Arabidopsis thaliana: one gene and its partners. The protein of the gene in region 2 purifies or fractionates together with the protein of the main gene of each other region. This does not show direct contact. Each region holds a gene or a part of one and is shown on either strand. Other genes may lie near its edges.

Evidence for each region.
Region 1: the proteins of AP3 (region 2) and CHR4 purify together in Arabidopsis thaliana (affinity purification with mass spectrometry, with the first as the bait; one study listed by BioGRID). This does not show direct contact.
Region 3: the proteins of AP3 (region 2) and CHR11 purify together in Arabidopsis thaliana (affinity purification with mass spectrometry, with the first as the bait; one study listed by BioGRID). This does not show direct contact.

Annotation. Positions count from the first base shown.
Region 1 is NC_003076.8:18,090,169-18,097,530, forward strand, and holds the start of CHR4 (chromatin remodeling 4), read right to left. Parts: upstream 3,740-7,362; 5' UTR 3,020-3,739; intron 2,113-3,019; 5' UTR 1,995-2,112; coding exon 1,776-1,994; intron 1,682-1,775; coding exon 1,580-1,681; intron 1,481-1,579; coding exon 725-1,480; intron 93-724; coding exon 1-92. Other genes in the region: AT5G44820 (Nucleotide-diphospho-sugar transferase family protein), read right to left, coding at 5,627-6,109, 6,646-7,011, 7,136-7,362. UniProt on the Arabidopsis thaliana protein: Chromatin-remodeling protein that binds DNA through histones and regulates gene transcription. May specifically recognize and bind trimethylated 'Lys-27' (H3K27me3) and non-methylated 'Lys-4' of histone H3. Probable chromatin remodeling factor.
Region 2 is NC_003074.8:20,117,662-20,124,454, forward strand, and holds AP3 (K-box region and MADS-box transcription factor family protein), read right to left. Parts: upstream 3,654-6,793; 5' UTR 3,427-3,653; coding exon 3,239-3,426; intron 3,138-3,238; coding exon 3,071-3,137; intron 2,988-3,070; coding exon 2,926-2,987; intron 2,842-2,925; coding exon 2,742-2,841; intron 2,570-2,741; coding exon 2,528-2,569; intron 2,252-2,527; coding exon 2,207-2,251; intron 1,962-2,206; coding exon 1,767-1,961; 3' UTR 1,479-1,766; downstream 1-1,478. Other genes in the region: WRI1 (Integrase-type DNA-binding superfamily protein), read left to right, coding at 115-806, 909-938; emb1967 (Forkhead-associated (FHA) domain-containing protein), read right to left, coding at 4,637-4,717, 4,796-4,924, 5,047-5,133, 5,237-5,385, 5,616-5,667, 5,753-6,793. UniProt on the Arabidopsis thaliana protein: Probable transcription factor involved in the genetic control of flower development. Is required for normal development of petals and stamens in the wild-type flower.
Region 3 is NC_003074.8:1,937,538-1,947,711, forward strand, and holds CHR11 (chromatin-remodeling protein 11), read left to right. Parts: upstream 1-3,435; 5' UTR 3,436-3,528; coding exon 3,529-3,726; intron 3,727-3,933; coding exon 3,934-4,065; intron 4,066-4,160; coding exon 4,161-4,267; intron 4,268-4,378; coding exon 4,379-4,491; intron 4,492-4,694; coding exon 4,695-4,792; intron 4,793-4,882; coding exon 4,883-5,062; intron 5,063-5,144; coding exon 5,145-5,366; intron 5,367-5,562; coding exon 5,563-5,697; intron 5,698-5,779; coding exon 5,780-6,062; intron 6,063-6,139; coding exon 6,140-6,213; intron 6,214-6,323; coding exon 6,324-6,544; intron 6,545-6,620; coding exon 6,621-6,708; intron 6,709-6,786; coding exon 6,787-6,880; intron 6,881-6,956; coding exon 6,957-7,151; intron 7,152-7,232; coding exon 7,233-7,267; intron 7,268-7,376; coding exon 7,377-7,453; intron 7,454-7,551; coding exon 7,552-7,641; intron 7,642-7,739; coding exon 7,740-7,809; intron 7,810-7,915; coding exon 7,916-7,970; intron 7,971-8,060; and 12 more. Other genes in the region: TLP9 (tubby-like protein 9), read left to right, coding at 26-491; AT3G06390 (Uncharacterized protein family (UPF0497)), read right to left, coding at 1,376-1,588, 1,682-1,808, 1,911-2,170; AT3G06410 (Zinc finger C-x8-C-x5-C-x3-H type family protein), read right to left, coding at 9,934-10,174. UniProt on the Arabidopsis thaliana protein: Possesses intrinsic ATP-dependent nucleosome-remodeling activity. Constitutes the catalytic subunit of several complexes capable of forming ordered nucleosome arrays on chromatin. Involved in the formation of nucleosome distribution patterns.

The DNA of each region.
Region 1 (7,362 bases), on a different chromosome or scaffold from region 2:
AGGTTTCCAACCGGAAGAGAGTTTGTATCTTCCAAACAACTAGAAGATTTATTAGTGGCACGTACTGCACGACGTTCCTCCTTGGGAAGCTTCTGCATTAGTACGTATAAGTGGTTAAGAACATATACTAAATGAAAGATGATGCAAGAACAACAACGAATAAAAAAAGAAATCAATAGGACCATCAAGAAATTTCAACTCTAAATTCCTAAAGAAAAAAAATCAAACTATTTCCAAGCTCCTGCAGTTAAAAGAGGTATCCATAATTCATCTGCCGAAACAGAGGTATAGTCACATGTATCATAACTACTTGTGAGAAACCACTATACTAATAAACAGGCAAAACAATATTGAGTTTGTGAAGAGTCGCAAAATGATAAGCAAAACAAAATGTCACTCTGGTTATATAAGAACTTAAAATAGCCACAATCTTCAGGACAGAACAAGAAACACTACATGCAATATTGACCAAAGACTCTTTACATTAATGCAGAAGATACTCAACATTAAATACAGAGTGTCAAACAATCTTGAAACGATTCTGAATCTTGTAACTCTACCAAATCTCTGATCTCTGAATTTTTTTTCTTTTATATCTTTTTAGTGCTACAACACACTTAAGAAAAAGGCGTGGATGCAACATTTTAAGGTTTCAGACAATTCATTTCCCTAGTATCAGCATAGTAGAATGTCTACAAAATCTATCATGAGTAGGAAATCATACCTTCACTTTTTCTGGTGTTTCTGTCTTGGACTGAGGTTTGGACAAGGATTTTAAAGTCACACGATTTTTCTTTTTCTTTTTTTTCGAAGACTCCGGTGATTTGGTAGTCTGAGAACTGGAACCCACTTTGGACAAACTTTTCTTCGCGCGTTTCTTATCAGTCTTGCACCTTTCAAGACTTTCCCCATCATTTAGTTCACGCTTCCGTTTTTTCCTTTTACCTTTTCCAGTCTCCATTTCAGCAACTGTCTTGTTCTCCACGATCTCACTGGAAGCATGTTCCAACTTCTCCACGGGTGCTTCATGAGTTTTCTCCGTATCTGATAGTTTAGATTCGGAGAGATCTTCACAGGACAGCAACGTTAATCCTGCATCAGATGGTAAATCTGCAGTGGGTATGACGGGTTTCCCCAAATCATCTTCTCCATGAGACGATGAATCAGGTCGGTCATCCGCAGATGCATGACCAAGCTCAGCAGTTGAACAGCCATCCATCGGGGAAGAATAAACTTCCTTTCCTGTGGATTTGCTCTCTTCGGCCGATATAGATTTCCCTTTCTCTGAAGATTGTTCTCCAGAAATTATAGAACTGCAATAAATCTGAGAAGCTCTTTCGCACTTTGGTCCGGCTTTTGAATTTCTTTTCTTGGTTTTTGTTCTTGCTCGCTTAGCAATGGCATCTAAACGATTGACAGGCTTGAGTGCTTCACTGTTTGGGGAACATTTTGGGCAGATCCACTTACCATTTGGAATCCGCTGGAGGAGACGAGATAAGGAGTAAGACAAGTTTCCCAAATTTAGGTGTTGCGAATCTACGACTACAAACGACACATGGAAAAAAAAAAAATCATTTACCTTAAGAGGTGGATTGAGGCATGCGGTATGATAGGTCCGAGGACAACTATCACAACACAATAAATCACCACCAAGGTCACAGATCACACATTCAAAATAATTCTGTAAGGAAAGAAAAATGATTAATTAAACAACACCATATAATAAAATAAGGAGACAAACTTTTAAGAACACCAGAAAGATAAAATGAAGTTACCCCATCATTTCCTTTCCTCTTAGAGGAGTTCCTTTCAGGAGTCGAATCAGTCTTAAGCCGCTGCTTACTTGGTTTAGAGGAAGAAGTGTATTCCGGGGAATCAAAAGCCATAGAACTATCCACTTTTTGGTCTAATATATCTAGTATAGACGGAAGTTTTCTTCGTTTCTGCTTCATGACCCAATCTCTTTTAATCATTTCACTGCCTGAATCTTTCATTTTCTACTTCTGTTTCCATACCATATGCTTGATAGAGAACCGGATAGACCTTCATGTGTAAATCACAGCTACCGAAGTAACTAAAGAATACTGGCCTTCAAAAAACTCTGTCTCTACACTAAAATTGTAAACAAAAAACGAGTAATGTAAACCATAATCTAAGATCAAGAGACACTGAAACAACAGTGAGGTAGTTAAATACTTAAATTGTACACATGCTCAGAAATACTGAACAGAAAAATTGATAAGATTAAATGAAGTATAACTCAAATCAATGATGCAGCATCGGACAAAGCACAGTGTACCAAACCATAAGGCCATAACCACAATTTCATTCACTTTTAAACCGATATGAAATCAAACAGCGTCATCCAAGCATATAAGCTATAGAAGCTAAGAAACTAAATGATGTCACCCCTAAAAATGGTGGTATAACGTTAGAAGCCTCACCATCCGTAATCAAAAGTCTTAATTAAAGATGAGACACAAACCTAGTAAGTAATCTAATCTTAACACAGCTTTTATAATAAACGATTCGTTCCCTCACTCCTTACGAATACTTCCATTAAATTCATACTTAATTACATTCCTCTACTGCAAACTACATTCCTCTACTTCAAAATCAGGTGTTCTCTAAGGCAATAATACACTAGTTCTAAAACATAGATCAATGATCCTATATAACTGAAATAATCAACGACAGATGGTAGAATTCATGAATCACTGAGATTCAAGTAAAGACAGCCATTGGTAATGAAACTCAAACAAACATAATTTCACACACAAATCAATAGAGAAAAGAGCTAAACAACACACATTGGCACTAAACATAAAGCTTCATTGGAGATAAACCCAATTCCCCCCCAAAGAAACTCAATTAAACCGAATCACACTAAATCAGTCCTTAATTAAACAGCATTAACATTACACAAGCATCAAAACCCCTCACCAAGTAAGATAAATCATCGAAATTACATAAGCAAATACAAAAAGAGGAAATACCCAGAAAGGAGAAAGCAGCTTACAAATCTGGGAATCTGAAATCGGAATAAAGTTGTTAAAGAGTCCTCCGATAATCAAGGACGAGAAATCCGGCGACGGAAGTTAGGGATTGAAGTCCCGGAGAAAGGGGCTTCTTCTTCTTCTTCTTCTAGGGCACGGCCTCACGAGAGAGAGATACGAAGGGAAAGAGAGAGAGAGAATGAGAGAAAGAGAGAAGGCGACACGCGAAACGATAAATAAATTAGAGATAGAGAGAGAGAAAGGTCAAGTCTTTGAGAGATGGGTTTGGGTTAAAGGGAGAGAGAGAGAGAGAGAGATAGCGAAAAGAAAGGCATATGATTCGGATTCGCCGGGCTCATAGGGGAACGGACTCTGACATGGCACCCAACAATCGCACCGCACGAGACAGAACCGGGAACGGAGAGTGACCTCTCTTCCTCTCTTTTCACTACACGTGTCCCCCTCTCTCTCTCTTTATCAACAACCCAACAACAAAGGTCTTGCCTTTTTGCTTTCTTCCTCCGTTTCGGTTCGGACCGGACCCTTCTCTGCTGTTATGTCTCGAACCATCATTTGTGTCAAGTGCGATCCAATGAGAGAAGAGACAAAAATCCGCCATGGATCTTAATTTCGAATTTTGTCTTACTTATTAGATCCTTTAGTTTCTACTTTGATATTATTTTTATGCTTCTTGTTTTTAGCTGGTTTTAGTTAAATTCGTTTAGATACTACTAGACAGAGAGCTTTTTAGTTTTATAGAATAAAGTTAAAAATTTCAAATCTATGTTTTTAAAACGCCGCCACCAGAGAAAATGATTATCTTTTCTTTGACGTTAATAACCTTAATTTAATGTTCTTCAGACTGAATAACTCTTTTTTTTTACTGTTATTTTATTTACTTAATATTTATTTAATGAAAAATTGTAAAGTGGACCATCAGGTATTTGGGCCGAACTTAGGTTACTTGTGATTGACATTAGGATTATACATTTGGGACCCATTTGATAGGCCTTTTGAAAGTGATTGCTGTCATAACATATATTCATTTTATCTGACACAAAATTTAAAGTGTTTAAAAAAAAAAAAAACAGATGTGGTTTTGTAATTGATAACGCGTAATTTTAATGGACTTTGTAACACTACAACTGAAATTTGTTCTTCTATGGTTAGTGTCCACTAAAAATAAGGTTGCATAAATGTTGGGAAACAAATATTGTGATTGTGTTATTGGATGGATGGTTGTGTACTTGTGTTATTTGTTTTTTGCAAACCAAGTTGAACACATTTGTTTTTGTTTTTTTTACAAAGATGAATCGATAAGCAAGGTGAGATACTATGGTTTACATTTGTATCTAGAACACGGTTTTATTATATGGTGTTTTACTGTTTTTGTTATTCAAATGATTGTTTTCTTCTTTGGTGATCTTATAGTTATAATACTGTATCTTTGTAGGTTCTTTGATAATTGAACAACATATTCATGAGGAAGATGAATTAAATGTAAATATTATATGTAAAACTTAAAATTCAAGTGTTTCTTTACATTACATCAATTATGGAAAATGTGCCTAATCGTACATTCTTTTGGGTTGGGTCTAGCAGTTGAAAACTCCTTTCAAAGGAGCACAAATTCTCATTTTTTTTGGGCCAATGGACCAAGTACTACTTGGTAAACATTCAAGTGTTTTTTCTATTTTGTCATGTGTGGTAGTACCATATTCGAGTTTCGACTTGGTTAACGTTTTTTAAAGAGGCAGTATGTGATTATAAACACACTCAACTCTCTATAAGTTGAAGAACTAGTCACAGTCCAACAGATTTTCTAAAATTTATGTACAATAAATTTCAAAATTTTAGGGTACAAAATATCTATTATGTGTTACATAATTTGTAAATGAATGACACATATCATATCATTATTGATGAATCACTTTGTTTAAATCTTGCCTACTTTTAATCCAATGGAGATATGATAAACTTATATAACCTACACTCGAAAGCATCTGGGCAAATTGGCAAGCCACCTATGTTGTGTTGGGCTTCTCCGGCAGCCCATCTCATCTAAATTTAAAAAACTTGTAACGAATCTAGGCCCAAACCAAAATTATAACTGACCAAACCAATAACTACTTAAATCTACAAATCGGGTAAATGACTACAAAATCTACGTTGATAGAACTTATGAAACTACATTGATCATTTTTCATATTACCAAAATCAAAATCGTATCATTTCTTTCTTTTTTTTAATGTAATGTCAAATTATATTCAAAAGAAAAAATATATACGTTTTTACAACTTGTGCTTCGGTAATTGAAAATAAGATCAAAAACTTTGAGAAATTTCAGAAAAAGTTTGAAACAAAAATCGTATCATTTCACAACACAATTTATTCAATACATTAACATTTCAAACCAAAAACACTAAAAGTCTAGAAGATTATTTTAGTACTTTCTAGCATTCGGCTCGGAAAACAAAAAATGACATTAACAAACAGAGAAAATTAACCATCAAAAAAAATATTTGATTAGATTAGAGAGCTAAAGAATATTCCTTGCACGAACAATAAACTCTTCATTTTTAAATATACTTTTCATCCAAATCTCAACAAAACAAAGAAAGAAGGAAATCTCAATCTTCCAAACACTTCATAGGAACACTCCACGTCGTGTTCTGCACTGGTTCTGACAAAGACAGGTACTTTCTCCAATCATCAAGGACAAGATTCAGATCATGAAGCTTCTTGTCCAAACCAATACAACAATTAGCATGCATTGTGCAAACCAAGTTTATGTCTCTGCTCGTTTGACAAAACCCACCAAAGTAAACTGTATCAAAGAATCTCATTTGGATTCCAATCTCTGAGATAAAAGGCTCATGCTTGATTCTGTTGAACACATCTTGATCATGCAAGTCTGGATAATCTAGACGAGATTTGTGCCAAAATTTGTAAAACTCAATGCTTCGATTGTTTGATCTCACGTATGTGAAACCACCATTGACCCAATTGTCTGAATCATAAGGATTTCCAAAGAATCTGTCACACGCCATTTGGAAGTCTCCATCTGGATATAACCGAGGAAATGGATCTCTAAGCCACATTATATCTGCGTCCTATATTCAAACACACACAATAATTGTCTATATAATCCCTTTAGCTTCGATTGAGAAGAACATTGCAAAATCGTGGAACATATACAACAAAAATGTTGAATTCATCAATCAAACGGAAACCAAAAAAATGACTTATGGTCTAATTAGAAAAAATGTGGGATAAAATAAAGGTGACAACCAATGTCGAATAAAATGGCAGAATTGTAAAATGCAAAGGTGAAATAGCGGAAACTTTTGCTATATGGTGCAAATTCTAATTATAAAAAGTTGAAATATCTATATAATAATAATAATAAATGTGTTTTGGTGGTTTACAAAAACTTTTGATGTGTAATTTTTTTTTATACTTTACATGTTTGCAAGAAAAAACATCTAGCATTTTGGCAAAAACATTTTAAAAGAAAATGCTAAAAATGACACGCATCAATGGCCAAAAAAAAAGACTGCAAAATCATATTCTCCTACCATTTCGAAAGACATTAATTCTGCATTATTTGAAGAAAAATTTTAGAGGGTTAAGAGAATTAAGACAATACCGTGAAGATGAAGTTAAAACCCATCTCAAGTACTTGAGTAAGAAGGTCGATTCTGGCCCACATCATCTTAAGATAATCAGGAGTGTTGTAAACTTTCTCGCCAGAGAAATCAGTTTCTGATGTTTCAATGTGGTAACAGTTAGTATGAAGTTGTGAGCATCGTTCAAACGCCTTGATATCCAAGCAAACCACTACTACATGTTTCAGAAGTTGTTGTGTTCCTTGTCCAATACGAAAACTCTCTAAGAAGAGATCAAACAAAGAGTTTGGTTCTGCCCAAGCTTGATTCAATGTCGTTATAATCACTGTATTGTTCTTCGTTGATGCGTTCTCCAAAATCTCCTTGAAACTCAACTTTGGTTTTGTCTGCAACAACAACAAAATTGGACTCAAAACTACAGATTCAAACCCTAAAATAAGACGAGACAGAGTATGTATAAAGAGTAGAAAACAGAGTATGTATCAGATCTGAATAATGATGAGAGCTAACCGTTTCTGGAGAAATCTCTGATGAGTTGAGGTTTGGTAATAGTGGAGATGGAGAAGCTTGGAGAGAGGTTAGATTGCTGACATTAAGTCGTTGCAGAGGATAAGCTGTTTTGTATAAAACCAGACATGAAGCGGTTAAACCAAGAAACAGTATCAAAATTCTTGTTAGTTCTTTTCGCCCGATTATAAATCCTGAATCCATAAATTTACTGCGAGAAGAAGAAGAAG
Region 2 (6,793 bases):
TAATGTGAAAGTTAACAACAAGTTGCGTTAACTTTCAAAACACTGACTTTGTTTGCATTGTCTTGATTTAGAAGCTTTTTAGCTAACACAGTTGTCTATTTATTGGTTTTACAGATACGCAGGAGGAAGCTGCTGCAGCATATGACATGGCTGCGATTGAGTATCGAGGCGCAAACGCGGTTACTAATTTCGACATTAGTAATTACATTGACCGGTTAAAGAAGAAAGGTGTTTTCCCGTTCCCTGTGAACCAAGCTAACCATCAAGAGGGTATTCTTGTTGAAGCCAAACAAGAAGTTGAAACGAGAGAAGCGAAGGAAGAGCCTAGAGAAGAAGTGAAACAACAGTACGTGGAAGAACCACCGCAAGAAGAAGAAGAGAAGGAAGAAGAGAAAGCAGAGCAACAAGAAGCAGAGATTGTAGGATATTCAGAAGAAGCAGCAGTGGTCAATTGCTGCATAGACTCTTCAACCATAATGGAAATGGATCGTTGTGGGGACAACAATGAGCTGGCTTGGAACTTCTGTATGATGGATACAGGGTTTTCTCCGTTTTTGACTGATCAGAATCTCGCGAATGAGAATCCCATAGAGTATCCGGAGCTATTCAATGAGTTAGCATTTGAGGACAACATCGACTTCATGTTCGATGATGGGAAGCACGAGTGCTTGAACTTGGAAAATCTGGATTGTTGCGTGGTGGGAAGAGAGAGCCCACCCTCTTCTTCTTCACCATTGTCTTGCTTATCTACTGACTCTGCTTCATCAACAACAACAACAACAACCTCGGTTTCTTGTAACTATTTGGTCTGAGAGAGAGAGCTTTGCCTTCTAGTTTGAATTTCTATTTCTTCCGCTTCTTCTTCTTTTTTTTCTTTTGTTGGGTTCTGCTTAGGGTTTGTATTTCAGTTTCAGGGCTTGTTCGTTGGTTCTGAATAATCAATGTCTTTGCCCCTTTTCTAATGCTCCAAGTTCAGATAAGAAATAAAAACTAAATGAACCGTAAAACACAAAGGAGGCTAAGATGTCTATGAATTTCTCTGGCATATGTGCAATAAGGAAGAGCTTCAAGGAATCTTGAACTAAGAGAAGGCTTCAAAGGCTAGACCTCTTCAAGTTCCCCTGTCTTATTATTGACCGGACTATGAAGTTTCTAGGAAGGTTATATAGGCAAAAGTTTATTCCTAACTCTTAATTCATAATTCTGATTGCGATGATTTTTGGTTTGCTAGATAGTTTAGTAAAAGAGCCTTACCATCCAAACTTGTGATCAATATTGGTAACCGTGAACGTCTTCATTAGGGTGAATATTTGAATATCTTTGTTTTCGGGTTACACATAACAACCCGAAAAGTTGTTGCATTTGGCTCGGAATACATCTTGTATAAAAATTTGTCTTTACTTTTTAGTTTTGTAAATCAATAGTATGATTGGTAGTCTATTCGTTTTGTGGAAACAACTTCAATTTGTATTTCATCAGACAATATATATGCATTCAAGTAGAAAATCAAATCGAGTAAATTTGTAGCATAATTAAGTAGAGTGGTCAATATAATAATACGATACATGATAAAAGTCTTGAAAACATTCCACACACAATAAGCCTAAGCACTACTGATCACACAATCCATATTTCTTTAGGCTTTAAAATACATAACTAAGAAACATGACAGTTTAAGGTTTTAGCAACACCATGCCTTATGTTTTAAGTAGTTACTAAATAATTAGATAGACAATGATGGCACCAGCAAACCTTTTAGCCTTTAATTATTCAAGAAGATGGAAGGTAATGATGTCAGAGGCAGAGGGTGCATGAAGGCCATGGTTGGGGTAATAGTGGTGATGGTTCTGGTGGAAACGAAGAGCGTAAGCACGTGACCCTTCGATTTGGTATCCAAGAACTGAGTCGTAATCTCCTCCATTGTCTACTAGTCCATAGTGAGGATCTTCAGCTCTTAGTTCCTAATTCACCAAAACATGTTTTAAGCCATATTCCACATAACTAAAACCAATATTATTAATTCGAAATGACATGACATTTGATATATGATTTAACTAGGAGATATTTCGATAAGAGAATCACAAGAAAACATAAGAGTGACTGATCAATCTACACTACATTTCTAGATATCTTTTTAACTGGCTCCGTATTCCATGAATGTATTATGCCTAAACCAACATTTGAGAAAAACAGAAAGAGATATTACCAGCTCATGTATGAGATTCTTTTGTATGTCTTGTTGACTTTTGTTCTGCAATTGTGTAAACCACAAGAGAAATGATGAAGAAATATTCCCTCCCAAAAAAATTATGAAGATATATACCCAAGTTATTATGACATCACTATATAGTATACTTGGTATTTTCTTTATCCATTAGCTTAAACACACACACACACACACAAATATAATTGTCCAAGAAAAGTGTTATCAACAGTTTTAGTAAGTTGATAAATTCAATTGACACAAAATTGTTGAGACAAATAAATATGATAAAATGGAAAAGTGAGTGGACATAGAAGATGTGACCTTTTTCTTGGTGGTCTCGATCTGATTCCCAAGAGATTTGAACTGTACAGTACAATACAATTAACATATATTATCCAACAGTAAACAAAATGTTTCTTTTTCTAAAACATATATACAACAATAAAATTCATTTTTTAATAATTCAATTCAAAACTGAAGCTTGGGTATATAGGATTAATTGAAACCCTAGGTAAGGGAAAAGTATGAAGAGAACCTTGCGCTCGCGAACGAGTTTGAAAGTGTTTTCCATTTCATCCTCAAGACGACGCAGCTCCTGAATGTCAAGCTCGTCCAAACACTCACCTAGCCTCTGCCTACAATTTTAAAAATATGTATATTTTCGTACTCATTTTTTTTAGTAAAACTCCTCATCTAAGAGAAGAGAGAGAAACAAATACTTGATCTGAGTCCGGAGATTTCTATTTGTCTCCAACAGTTTCCTCTTGGTTTCTTGCATTCGCTGCAGCAAAACGCATCAAGAATTTAACCAACCAGCGAAACACATATCAAGAAGAAGAAGAAAGATCTAAGAAGGAAAAAAACCTCATATTGAGTGGCCCAAACATCGACATCAGAAATAGTTTGGTACAGATCTACGATCTCCTTCGTTCTATAACCAACAAAATCACCAAAAAAGTAGTGGTTAATTATAAGAAAACAAAGCAACTCAATTAGCTTAATTTAAGAGTGGTGTTTAGAGAGATGGTGTACGTGGTGTTAGGGCTGATATACTCATGAAGCTTGTTGGAGCTAGAGAACATGATAATCGAAACCCTAGCATCACACAAAACCGTGAGCTCATGTGCTTTCTTGAATAAACCATTTCTTCTCTTTGAATACGTCACTTGTCTGTTTGTCTGGTTCTCTATCCTCTTGATCTGGATCTTCCCTCTCGCCATATTCTTCTCTCTTTGTTTAATCTTTTTGTTGAAGAGATTTGGTGGAGAGGACAAGAGATATAATGAGAAGAAAGAAGTGAAATAGAAAGAGAGAGATGGAGTTGAAGAAGTAAAGGGTCCACTTGAGTTACTAAAAATGGAAAGTATTGCCTAATCCATGAAAGGTAAGTTCAGAAGTTGATGAAAACTAAGTGATAAATTTTCCATTTATGTAAACTGATTTTTTTAATTACAAGACACTGTTTAAATCAACGGACATCGATGGTTGTATAATTACAAGACACTGCTTAAATCAATTGTCACTTGGTAAAAGAGGGGGACCAAAGCTAAAAACTTGGTTTGCTTTTCGTCAATTTATTAACGGAGCTCCGTTAGCTTCTACTTTGTTTTTGTTTAGACGGTGACAAACTTAACGGCGTTTGTAAACGTCAAATCAGTGCAGGTGGATTTGGTTGGCTTTTTACACTTACCCTAAAGTAAACAAAAGTGTTTAGGTGTGAACAAGTTTTTATATTGGTGTTAAAAGCCAATATTCTACTTTTGTCTGTTAATTTGGGAAATAAGAAGAAAGAGATATATATGTTTGGATTAATCGTCACTTCCATCTAACTCAAATCTTTTATATGTTTCCCCAAATGATTACAATAATTTCCCGGATTTGCCTTTAACTAAAGATCCTTGGAAAATAGAATATTACCCCTAGGGTTTAAGAAGGAATCACAAGTTAGGAGAAAAGTCTTTGTTTGTAGATAATGTTTGGTCCTAACTCCAAACAGTCCATCAAATCAGATATATGATGAAACTCTTTTTTCTTTTTGCTTCGACCAGTTAGTGTTGTTTCAAAACTAAGTTGGCCACAGTTACTGTTGTTTTGAAACTAACATGGATTGATCTTAGTTCATCATCAATTTTCAAGCAATGGAAATCAGTGAGTGAGTCACGAAAATGGAAACCTATCCTTTATACTGATAGGATATCCAAAGAACTTGTGTATCAACTTCACAAGAACAATCATTCTTCGCTTAAAACACAAATTCAGATACAAGAGACTTGTATTTTCATTTCAACGCCTTAAAACAGGGTCAACTATGCATGATGCGGAACTAAAGATGTATTAAAAGATCTACAAGACGTGTTCCTATGGCTAAGGTACATTACACAAGAGATGCATCATTCATCTACACAAACAACACGCACTCTTGATCTGGTCTCAGTTCACTTTCCCTCTTCTCTTCAGGTACTCTTGCATGCAACTTTGGTTTGTTTCAAATATAAAAGGCATTCCCCGTATCTGCGCGCACATATATCGGGTTTAAGTACGGACCTAGAAGCGTAAGTAATGATCATAAAAGAGTATCCCGGATCAAACCTCAACTAGACAATCGGATTTGAGGATTAAACTCTGTCCAGGATCTACTTCCTTCTCATTTACTGAGATTGAATACTTCCCCAGGTTTTTTATATGAAACGAACCGTCATCACCCAGCCGTATGATCGCCTGCATTCAGTAACCCAAAAAGGAAAAAAACATACACAACAACCATTACAGATCCTGGGCTGCTGCTTCTCATACAACTTAAAGACCTAAAATACAAATAGAAGTATCTACTATTGACCGACCTGTCGTCGAGATATTTTGCTACCCCGCTTTTCTCTTCCCAAATCAATGTCCACAGCGAGGTCTTCTGTTGATCTACCCACCAAAACCTATGTTAAGAAAAAAGAACCCCGATATCAACAAGTGCTACTATAATTCTTAAGAAGCTTATCAAATCATACAAGGAATATTAAACGAATAAGATAATATTACCTCAGGCTTCTTGATATAGTGTTTTGAATATCTGCCATATAAAACAGCGAATGCACCACGGGAAGCAATGGCTCTTTGCATATATGAATGAGCAGCCTGCTCAAGTCTTATGATTGTTCTTTTCATGTCTTGGCTCTGATACTTGGAGACTGCAAGTGAAAACATTTTAGGGATTTACAAACAAGCCTTAAACCTCTTCTAACATCTCATACGCTACCCATAGAAAAGGTTTCCCACATCACTGCAGCATGTAATAACTTTTAGGAGCCAAATGCCGAAATACATTCCTATTCACATACTAAAAGCTTTCTTTTCCCAAAAATGTAGATAGATAGAAAGAAACATGAGTTCCACTGGACGAGAAGGGACGCTCAACTACCTTCGAGATCAAAATTATCTTGATCATCAGGTTCCAAGTCCATGTCAAGTATCTGAAATAAAAAAGAGTGTTATGGATTAGGTGTTTACGTGTCATGGAACCATAGCACAAGAATAAAGATGGAAGTCAAGAGTTACCATAGCCTCAATGTCAGAATAATTGGGTAAGTCCTCATCACTCTCACAAACATGCGCTTCTGCTTCTGCTTCTGCTTCTGCACGGGTGATCTCCAGCTCAGGGACTGTAATCTCTATCAAGCCATCATCAGTATCTTTAGCATGTGGCGATTCATTAACAGGTGGTACAACATTTTTCTCTTTACAATTTTCACTATCCTTCTCTGGGTGGTTGCCATGGCCATCAGATCCGACAAAGAGTGTTCCAGTAGCAGTTTCTTTCTTTCCATCTTTTGCACCGGTACCAGTAGAAAGTAGAGTATTAGAGCAAGCCTGTGCAGAGGAAGAACCACCAGGAGCTACAGTATTCTTTAACTCAGTACTAGTCGATGCCCTGAATTTGCTACCTTTACTTGGTTGGCCCATCTCTGGCTTTCCTTGAGTAGACCCCTGTAAACGTCCTGGTTTTTTCTTTTGAGCCTGGAGTGAATATCCCTCACTTTTTTCCTTACTGGCGGAGACGTCTCTTACACATGTAGTTATTGGACTATTGGTATCCTTAAAGTTCCGCCGGGCTAAAGAAGAAACTGACATCGGACGGGAGTTGTTGGACAGGAAAATGTCATCATTACACGGAATATCAGGATCCTCTTCGTTTAATAAACAGCAGATTACACCCCCAACAATCTCAGGATGAGGATCTAAAGCGATTGTACCATCTAGCTCAAGCATCACATGATCATCCAGGGTTGCCTCTCCTGGATGAGTTGGTGCAATGGAAGGTTCTTGCTCGGTGGGGTTAGGAAAAGCCTCGCGGTTTGTATCATTTGTAGAGTTCACCAACAGTGAGCTAAGACCATCATAATATGACTTGTCAACTTCTTTGCCATCTACTTCCATGAACGGTTCCATGTCTTCTTCGAAAAGAGAAGTTGAAAGCTGTGCCAGGAAATCAGTGCTAGCCATTGTGTTTTTTGCCTCGTGAGCAGTATTCTCTAGTTTCTGCTCGGAATCTTGATGAACCACATCACATACTGATAGACCTGCGTGTTCAGTGAATGT
Region 3 (10,174 bases), about 18 Mb from region 2:
AGTCTTTTGAGGGTATTAATAACAGGGGACCGAGAAGAATGCGTTGCATCATGGATACAATACCTATGAGCATCGTGGAGTCGCGAGGAGTAGTAGCTTCAACATCCATAAGCTCTTTTTCCAGTCGGTCATCACCAGTCTTTAGGTCTCACTCAAAACCATTGCGCAGTAATAGTGCATCATGTAGCGACTCAGGCAACAACCTGGGAGATCCACCATTGGTGCTGAGCAACAAAGCTCCACGGTGGCATGAGCAGTTACGTTGCTGGTGCTTAAATTTCCATGGTCGAGTCACAGTGGCTTCGGTTAAGAACTTTCAGCTTGTGGCAGTTAGTGACTGTGAAGCAGGGCAGACATCTGAGAGGATCATACTCCAGTTTGGGAAAGTTGGGAAGGACATGTTTACCATGGATTATGGATATCCGATTTCTGCGTTTCAAGCGTTTGCTATCTGCCTGAGCAGTTTTGAAACCAGAATTGCCTGTGAATAATGAAGAGACTAACCTTAAATCACCTCCGTGTGCTCGTTGTTGTGGTCTGTAGATGGTGTAGTACTTGTCCAAAATCTCAGGAACGTTAATAGCTTTCTCTGGATTCTTTCTGACAATTCAAATCTATCTGTTGTATTTATTTGTCTTTCATGCAAAGAAGCGTACCAGAAATAGGCTACGATTACGTTTTTTTCTGAAATTTACAAACAAAATTAATTTACTTTGCTACAGGATTTAGTTCACAGGAAGAGGGAAGGTTTGTTTTTTCTTTATATGGAAATATTATCTACAGTGAGTCAAAAACTCCTTGGCTGCAGCATTCTCCTCTTCTTCTTGGCTGCAGCATTCTCCTCTTCTTCTTCCTCTGCTCGAAGATCATCTTCTGGTAGCTTAAACTGACTAAGGTTCCGGACAAACTCTGTGACGGCATGGAAATGATCTGGGGAAAAGAAAAGTGCTCTCCCATTCTCTGGTAAGTGAACAGATCTATCGCTGTATTTTCGTCCTTTAGGTTCTCTGTGATCCTCTCAAAACCGCCAAGGTTTGGTTCGGATGAGTTTTGTCCTGAGACGATGACTCCGTGTTTCTTGCAACAAGTCTTGATGTGAGCAAGCAATGTCTCAGGGCTCGAGAGAGATTTCAGTGATTGGTATATGAAGAGTTTTCTTGAATCTTAATTTGTTGTATATGAAGACCGAATTTTGGATAAAGAAGTTACATATTAGTATATTACGCGACAAGAGATACACGAATGCAACTTCGTACTGTATATAGAAACGCATGCTTTTACATTAATATAACATAAACAAAACAAATCAAGACACAGACAAACACGTGTGAACAAATACACAGTACAGGGAAAGGATGGATTTATAAGCTTTTGTTCATGTTCTCTTGGAGAGTGCTGACCAGATGGATAAAACTAGAAGAAGAAGTGAAGCAAATAGAGATAAGGCAAGCGAAGTTGCGATGTAACGACAAAACTTGTCGTAGACATTACAGATCTTGTTCCACCCAACTTCTTCGTTTCCTTTCAACGCTATGTACGCAACTCCTCCCGCCGTTCCCGTTGCAGACGCCAAAATCCCCAGCATCACCTGTTCATATATACATATTCCGGAATTATTACTTAAAACACCCTAATTAACATGGTATATGGAAGTTTCAAAGTTCCTTGTAAAACAAGTTACCATGTCTAACGAGGCTAGGTAAATGGAGAACTGTGCAGTGAACTCAGGTTTCAAGAGTAGAGAGATGGAGACAAGTGTTGATATGAGCGCATAGAAACTAGCTACCACGAGAGCAACCACGAAGTATCTGCATAGATATATAGCCAATTTAACACATTAAGTTTAAACTAGAAAACATTCCATGATTATGATCAAACATGGAGGAATTTAATTAATTAAAGAGACAAACATGAAAGCGGGCGAGTCATTGAACTCGGCGGAGACAGGAGCCGGAGACGAAACTCCAGGGAGCTGAGTCATCTCTGTCTGGTCGCTAGTCACCATTACTATAAGAGCAGTCAGAGTGGCGGAGAAAAGCAGAACTCTTGTTATAATGTCTATTTTACGACAATCTAGGAAACTGGCGGCTGATGAGGGTGGTGGTGTAGCCGACGCGGGAATCGGTTCAGATTTGCCAGTTTCAGGGTCAGGGTTCTCAGTAGACGCCATCAGATGATTCTATAACTCTTTTGTGGATTAGGTTGTGGTTAAGTTTGGACTGTGAGTTATGAAGTTGGCCGCTACATGAGATTATTTGTGAGTATATATATATAGATAGTCCCGGTGATGAGTTGTAGTTATTACCCACACGCCAAGAAACAAATTTATATTTATTTACACTATTCACTAATGTATATATACAGGAACATGAATATCAATTCATTTAATTTCTAGCTTGCATTTTTCATTGTTTAAAATTTCGAAATAGTTTTTGGAAAATTCACTAGATGTTGTAGTTTTATTTCAACGTTAACATATAATGTTTGTTACAACAAATTTTGCATGCATATCTATTTTTGATTAATAGAAAAATTAATATATTTCTATAGGTATAAGTTATGGATAATGTAGATATATACAATGGGAATGTGTTAGGCCAACCCCGGGAAGGTTGGTGAGGAAATTGGGCGACGGTAATCAAAAACAAAATACAAAAAAGGAGAGTAAAGAACAGTAGGAGTGGTTAACCAATCATCTGCATGAAAAAGGTAATTTTATACATGCTCTTAGGTATCACTTTGCTTTCTGCTTGTGGCTGCAAATCATGTAAATGGATATCTTATTTTATGTAAAAACATTAAACTGCAAGAAACAAATGTCCCAGTAGCATGACCACTTCAGCACTTCTCAAACATATTATAATGTTTTAACATGGATAAAGCTATTTCAGATACTAATCCAGTCGAAATAGAGTAGTTTTGTCTTAGCAAAATCACCAAACTTTATCTCTTGATACCAATACAGAGTGACTGCACAAGTCTGAGAACAACACAAAAAAAGTCAGACCTAACAGTAATAATATATATGAACTCATCATGATTTTTATTTCATATCTTAATAATACCTAACTGGTTTTAGTAAATCCAAATATATAAAATTAGAGATAGCTTTAACAAATTGGGGGCGATGATCAATCACAAAGATTAAAAATAGTGTAACTGGAGAATCTTTCTCGAGCAGCTCCAGCATAGTAATAAGTTGGGGAAAATATCGGGCTTGAAAGTGGGTCTTATGGGTCAGTCAGGCCCAACTATGATTAAACAAAGCCCAAATCGCGAATGTTCCAAAACAACTCTCTTGCTCAGGTGGCGGGTAATTAATTACTAATTCCCCGTTCGATGAAGCGACTAGTTACATCGTAGCCATATATTTATTCAGCTTAATCAACGGTTACAAATTACCCTGAAGCTTCGGTCGTTTTGCAATTTGTATCTAAAGTTTCACTTTTTTTTTAAAATCTTTATTTTACTTTCTCACAAGCGAAGCGAACCCTCGATCTCAAGGCGAAAGCAGATTTCGTAGCTTCCATGGCGAGAAATTCGAATTCCGATGAGGCTTTCTCGTCAGAGGAGGAAGAAGAGCGGGTTAAGGATAATGAAGAAGAAGATGAGGAGGAGCTCGAGGCTGTTGCTCGTTCTTCTGGCTCCGACGATGACGAAGTAGCCGCCGCCGACGAATCACCAGTCTCCGACGGAGAGGCTGCTCCCGTAGAAGATGATTACGAGGTAGCTGCAGGCTAATTTCGTTTTGATGGCTGTGATTTTTGAAATCTCAGTGAACTGCATCTTTTTTGTACTTGGAAAGTTGAAATTTCATTTAATGCAATGGATTCGGCGTTCGCGTCTTCCTTCGTTTGTTAGTTTTAGTCGAATTTTTGTTGAGTGAAAGTTCATTGAATGTCTGCGCATGGTGGCTCATTGTGGTATAAGCAGGACGAAGAAGATGAGGAAAAAGCTGAAATCAGCAAACGTGAGAAAGCCAGACTTAAAGAGATGCAGAAGTTGAAGAAGCAGAAGATTCAAGAGATGCTGGAGTCGCAGAATGCTTCCATTGACGCGGATATGGTGCGTTGTTTGAACTATATATTTCAGGTTTTTAGCTACTTTTCGTTCTCGTGCTTTTAAGTTCTGACGATTCTGAATCATTCCATGTGTTTTAGAACAATAAGGGAAAAGGGAGACTGAAGTATCTTCTGCAGCAAACTGAGTTATTTGCCCACTTTGCTAAAAGTGATGGATCTTCTTCTCAGAAGAAGGCAAAAGGAAGGTGTGTTAGATGCAATTTTTTCCTAAAATATCGGTTCATCATTGCTTCTAGCTTCAGAGTAAATATGATGAGCCAGGCCCTGATTTATGTGGTTTTAACTTCTACCTTCAGGGGACGTCATGCTTCCAAAATAACTGAAGAGGAGGAAGACGAAGAGTATCTAAAGGAAGAAGAGGATGGCTTAACTGGATCTGGAAACACACGGTTACTCACACAGCCCTCTTGTAAGTACCTGTATTTTGCTCTTTAGTCTAGGATTACTGTATATTAATCGTCTCTCTAGTCTCGAGCAACAAGTACAATATGATTGACATCTCCGTCCATTTGCGTAACCATACATATTTTTGTGACCTCACAGTTAGTATGTAGTATAGCGTAAATTACTGGGAAAGCTTGAGATTCATCTATTTTTCTTCTCAATCGACAGGTATTCAAGGGAAGATGAGAGATTACCAATTAGCTGGTTTGAACTGGCTCATTCGTCTTTATGAGAATGGCATAAATGGAATTCTTGCTGATGAAATGGTAAATAATTCTCCCCCAACGATCCAAGCAGAATAAGTTCTCTATATTCTGTCATGCTAATCATGAAACTTTTTTTTCCCTGTGGTCTAGGGTCTGGGGAAGACGCTTCAAACGATTTCTTTGTTGGCATATCTTCATGAATACAGGGGAATCAATGGTCCCCATATGGTGGTTGCTCCAAAATCAACACTTGGTAATTGGATGAACGAAATTCGCCGGTTTTGTCCTGTCCTACGTGCTGTGAAGTTCCTTGGTAATCCTGAGGAGAGGGTAAGTCATGAGCTGTCTGCCATTTCAGAATTTCATGTAAACGTTTATCCCAGGATTCTGAAATGTCTGCTAACTGATGCAGAGACATATTCGAGAAGACCTGCTAGTTGCTGGGAAATTTGATATTTGTGTCACAAGCTTTGAGATGGCCATCAAAGAGAAGACAGCACTTCGTCGGTTTAGCTGGCGTTATATTATCATTGATGAAGCGCATCGAATCAAGAACGAGAATTCACTCCTTTCTAAAACCATGAGACTTTTTAGCACCAATTATCGGCTTCTTATCACGGGGACCCCCCTTCAGGTGTTTGCTCTATCTTATTCTTGAATATTTGGACATTGAAGTTTTCTTTGTTAAGTTGCTTCTAATTGAATGTTGAAACAACCTTTCTTGTACGGCTCTGTTTGCACTCTTAACTTTTGCTTTTCCGGGCACTTTTAATATTTACCGTATAATGACTGTGTAGCCTGCTGTACTCATATTGTCCTCATATATGCAGAATAATCTCCATGAACTGTGGGCTCTTCTAAATTTTCTTCTGCCTGAGATTTTTAGTTCAGCAGAGACTTTTGATGAATGGTTTCAAATTTCTGGTGAGAATGACCAGCAAGAAGTTGTGCAACAACTGCACAAGGTATGGATGCACCCATTCCTTGCATTGAGTTTATTCTGTTCTGTGTGAGTCGTAGGTTAATTGCTTTCATGTATCTTTTTAGGTTCTTCGACCATTTCTTCTTCGAAGACTAAAGTCAGATGTTGAGAAAGGTTTGCCACCGAAGAAGGAGACCATACTTAAAGTTGGTATGTCTCAGATGCAAAAGCAATACTACAAGGCTTTACTGCAGAAGGATCTTGAAGCGGTTAATGCTGGTGGAGAACGCAAACGTCTGCTAAACATTGCAATGCAACTGCGTAAATGCTGCAATCACCCCTATCTCTTCCAGGGTGCAGAACCTGGTCCCCCATATACCACAGGAGATCACCTTATAACAAATGCTGGTAAGGCTAGAAATAAACTAGATCCTTCAGATTTCTGTGGAAGTTTTTTATGAAGCATCTCTATATTGTTATTTTAGGTAAGATGGTTCTCTTGGATAAATTGCTTCCTAAGTTGAAAGAACGTGATTCAAGGGTGCTGATATTTTCTCAGGTAAACGCTAATACAGAACAGCTGGATATAATGGTTTCTTACAGTTCATCTTCTCTTTTTCCTTTGTCTATGTAAAGTCTGAGCCTTATTCTTTTCTTTCCACATGTCAGATGACAAGACTTTTGGATATTCTTGAGGACTATTTAATGTATCGTGGTTACTTGTATTGCCGTATTGATGGAAACACTGGTGGTGACGAACGAGATGCCTCCATAGAAGCCTACAACAAGCCAGGAAGTGAGAAATTTGTTTTCTTGTTATCTACTAGAGCTGGAGGGCTTGGTATCAATCTTGCTACTGCAGATGTTGTGATCCTTTACGATAGTGATTGGTAAGTCTCTCATCATTGTCCACTGTAGTTTATGAACTTTCTCTTCACGTTTGACGAGTCTGGCATATTCTGGCAGGAACCCACAAGTCGACTTGCAAGCTCAGGATCGTGCCCATAGGATTGGTCAAAAAAAAGAAGTTCAAGTGTTTCGATTCTGCACTGAGGTTGGTCTCCTCTCCGTGAATTTCAAGTTAAAACAGCCATGAGAGGTTTAAAATTAATTATGTGTTGTTTGTTTACAGTCTGCTATTGAGGAGAAAGTGATTGAAAGAGCTTACAAGAAGTTAGCACTTGATGCTCTGGTTATTCAACAAGGGAGATTGGCAGAACAGAAAAGTAAGTGCGTTATACAGTGATTGCTTTATGCATTGGTTCATCTCTGACAGAATTGGTATTTATCTTAACTATGCAGCTGTCAATAAGGATGAGTTGCTTCAAATGGTAAGATATGGTGCTGAGATGGTGTTCAGTTCTAAAGATAGCACAATCACAGACGAGGATATTGATAGAATCATTGCCAAAGGAGAAGAGGCAACAGCTGAACTTGATGCTAAGATGAAGAAATTCACAGAAGATGCTATACAGTTTAAAATGGATGACAGTAAGGGTGTCACTTACCTACTATTTCCCCTATTAGGTTGTGTGAATATTGTAATGTTTTGATAATCTGTTGTTTTATTTGTTGTAGGTGCTGACTTCTATGATTTTGATGATGACAATAAGGTAACTTGTATATTTCTTTGCATAGTCTTAACTTTCATGTCATATCCCTAGCTTTGCTCTGCATTACTGATGATAAAATTTACTAATATATTTGTAAATTTGTTCATAGGATGAAAACAAGCTCGATTTTAAAAAGATTGTAAGCGACAATTGGAATGATCCCCCCAAGCGGGAGAGAAAGCGCAAGTAATGATTACTTCTGTCTTATACATTGTGCAGTCCTATTTTGCCAGTCTTCATATCTAAAAGAAACATCCCTTTTGTTTTATCTACTGTATCTTCAGCTACTCTGAATCTGAGTACTTTAAGCAAACATTGCGGCAAGGTGCTCCAGCTAAACCTAAAGAGCCTAGAATTCCGCGCATGCCCCAGTTGTGAGTACCTCAACAACCTCCATCTCATTGTTGAATGCCTTTTCCCTGTTTTGATGATTTTCTTACACTAGAAATCTAATTTATTGTCCCTCTTTCAGGCACGATTTCCAGTTCTTTAACATTCAGAGATTGACCGAGTTGTATGAAAAGGAAGTACGTTATCTCATGGTAGGCCTCTCTCAAAACGAAACACTTGATTCCTTTGATGTGCTTAAGAGCGAGTTTTTTTGCCTTATAAAAGCAACTTGCTTCTTTTTGTGCTTTTTGGTTTCAGCAAACACATCAGAAAAATCAGTTGAAAGACACAATTGATGTTGAAGAACCAGAAGGTCAAGCTTGTACCCACTTTGTTAACATGTACCCACTTTGTTAACATGTTTTTCAGCAAACCTATTACTGATTAAGAATTTTTTTGTTAGAAGGTGGGGATCCCTTAACTACTGAAGAAGTAGAAGAAAAGGAGGGATTATTGGAGGAGGCAAGTGAATATGTTTGATGTTAGAGTGGTCTTAGACATTTGATTTGGTAGGCTTTAATTAATTTTTTGTAATTGTCAATCTCCAGGGTTTCTCAACATGGAGCAGAAGAGATTTTAATACTTTCCTCAGGGCTTGTGAGAAGTATGGCCGCAACGACATAAAAAGCATTGCCTCTGAGATGGAAGGGAAAACAGAGGAAGAAGTTGAAAGATATGCCAAAGTATTTAAAGAGCGGTACAAGGAGCTGAACGGTAAGTAACACCTTTCAATGCTAAGTTATGCAGTGTTTTTACATGTTTCTAAGTAATTCCTACCTCCAAAAAGAGCTTATGCTAAGTAAGTTTATCATCTTTCCCTCTAAATATGTAGACTATGATAGAATCATTAAGAACATTGAGAGGGGAGAGGCAAGGATCTCTAGGAAAGACGAAATCATGAAGGCCATAGGGAAGAAACTGGATCGCTACAGAAACCCTTGGCTGGAACTGAAGATTCAATATGGTCAGAACAAAGGCAAGCTGTACAATGAAGAGTGTGACCGTTTCATGGTATGTCTTTTTCTCGTTTCCCTTTTTGCTGTTCTGTCTCATTAATTATATCATGAAGTTTTTGACTGTTGAGGAACTTTGGTGGTGAAAAACAGATCTGCATGATTCACAAACTTGGTTATGGGAATTGGGATGAGCTAAAGGCAGCATTTAGGACATCGTCTGTGTTCAGGTTTGACTGGTTTGTGAAATCCCGCACGAGTCAGGAACTTGCAAGAAGATGCGACACTCTGATTCGACTGATCGAGAAAGAGAACCAGGAGTTTGATGAAAGAGAGAGGCAAGCCCGCAAAGAGAAGAAGCTCGCGAAGGTAAAATAATGCAATATTTTCATGTATAAGGTTGTATTCTTTTGATTTGATTTCTTTAGGTGGTTAATGCTTTTCTGGTTTTTAATCTTTGAAGAGTGCAACACCATCAAAGCGACCTTTAGGAAGACAAGCAAGTGAGAGTCCTTCATCGACGAAGAAGCGGAAGCACCTGTCGATGAGATGAGATTATGTGTTTACGGATCTGTCGAGTCTTTGTTGTTACATATAGTTAAGCTAATGTTAAAAACATAGCAAATGGATTTCATTCTGCTTTCATGAATGTTTGTCCTGGTTTGACTTGGATTTAATGAAATGACTTAATTATAATTTTGTAGACTTCTCTTCCGTAAAGAAACTGAACAAAAGGATTTGAGGCCATTGGATGGCAACTTAGGCTGAAGCTTAAGCAAAAGTTATGAGTTTCTGAGGGATATATGAACAGACGATTTTTTCCACAATTTATTACTTCTTTGTTCAACGGTTGCATTTTATTTACTTAGAGAGGAGAGATCTGATACTTTTGTGGAAAGAAGATGTACATAGGCATTGTTCGTGCAATGTGCAGTGATTGAATGTAGATGTCATTGGATACAACTTACAAGAACGAGGAAGAGAAAATGTGTACACTATATCCGTTTATGCTTCTTTCTACGTTCGCAGACATTTTAAATTACTCCTCCAGATTCATGAAGGAATAAAAACAGGGGACTTCTGATGAATGTCGCTTGAATAAGGCCATTTATTAGTAATTCGTTATTCAAGAAAAATAAACAAGAGAGGAGAGATGGCCGTATGAGAGAATATATTATATATGGACAAATGGTCAATGACAGAAGCTTTAGTCTCTCTGCTTCCATCAAATCTCAGACCCCAAAAATAATCTTCTTTTCTCTTTTTTTCTTAATGTTGCTTAGTTCATGAAGAATTGAGAATATTTTCCTCTCTTTTTTTTTTTTAACTTGAAGTCTTAGCTTCTATGCTGCCACTGACGCTGGCTGAGTCACCACTCGTCTCAGCTGGCTCAGGACGGCTCAAGCCACTGACCATAGAAGAAACTGCAGGAGTCACAGCCTCTTTGGTGGGTTCATTGCTAGAGCTTACTGGAGCTGATGAGCCGCTGAGTGAGGATGATCCGATTGGGTATGGCGCCACGGGCATATCAGTTAGTGATGATGCAGACGGACTGTAGCTAAGC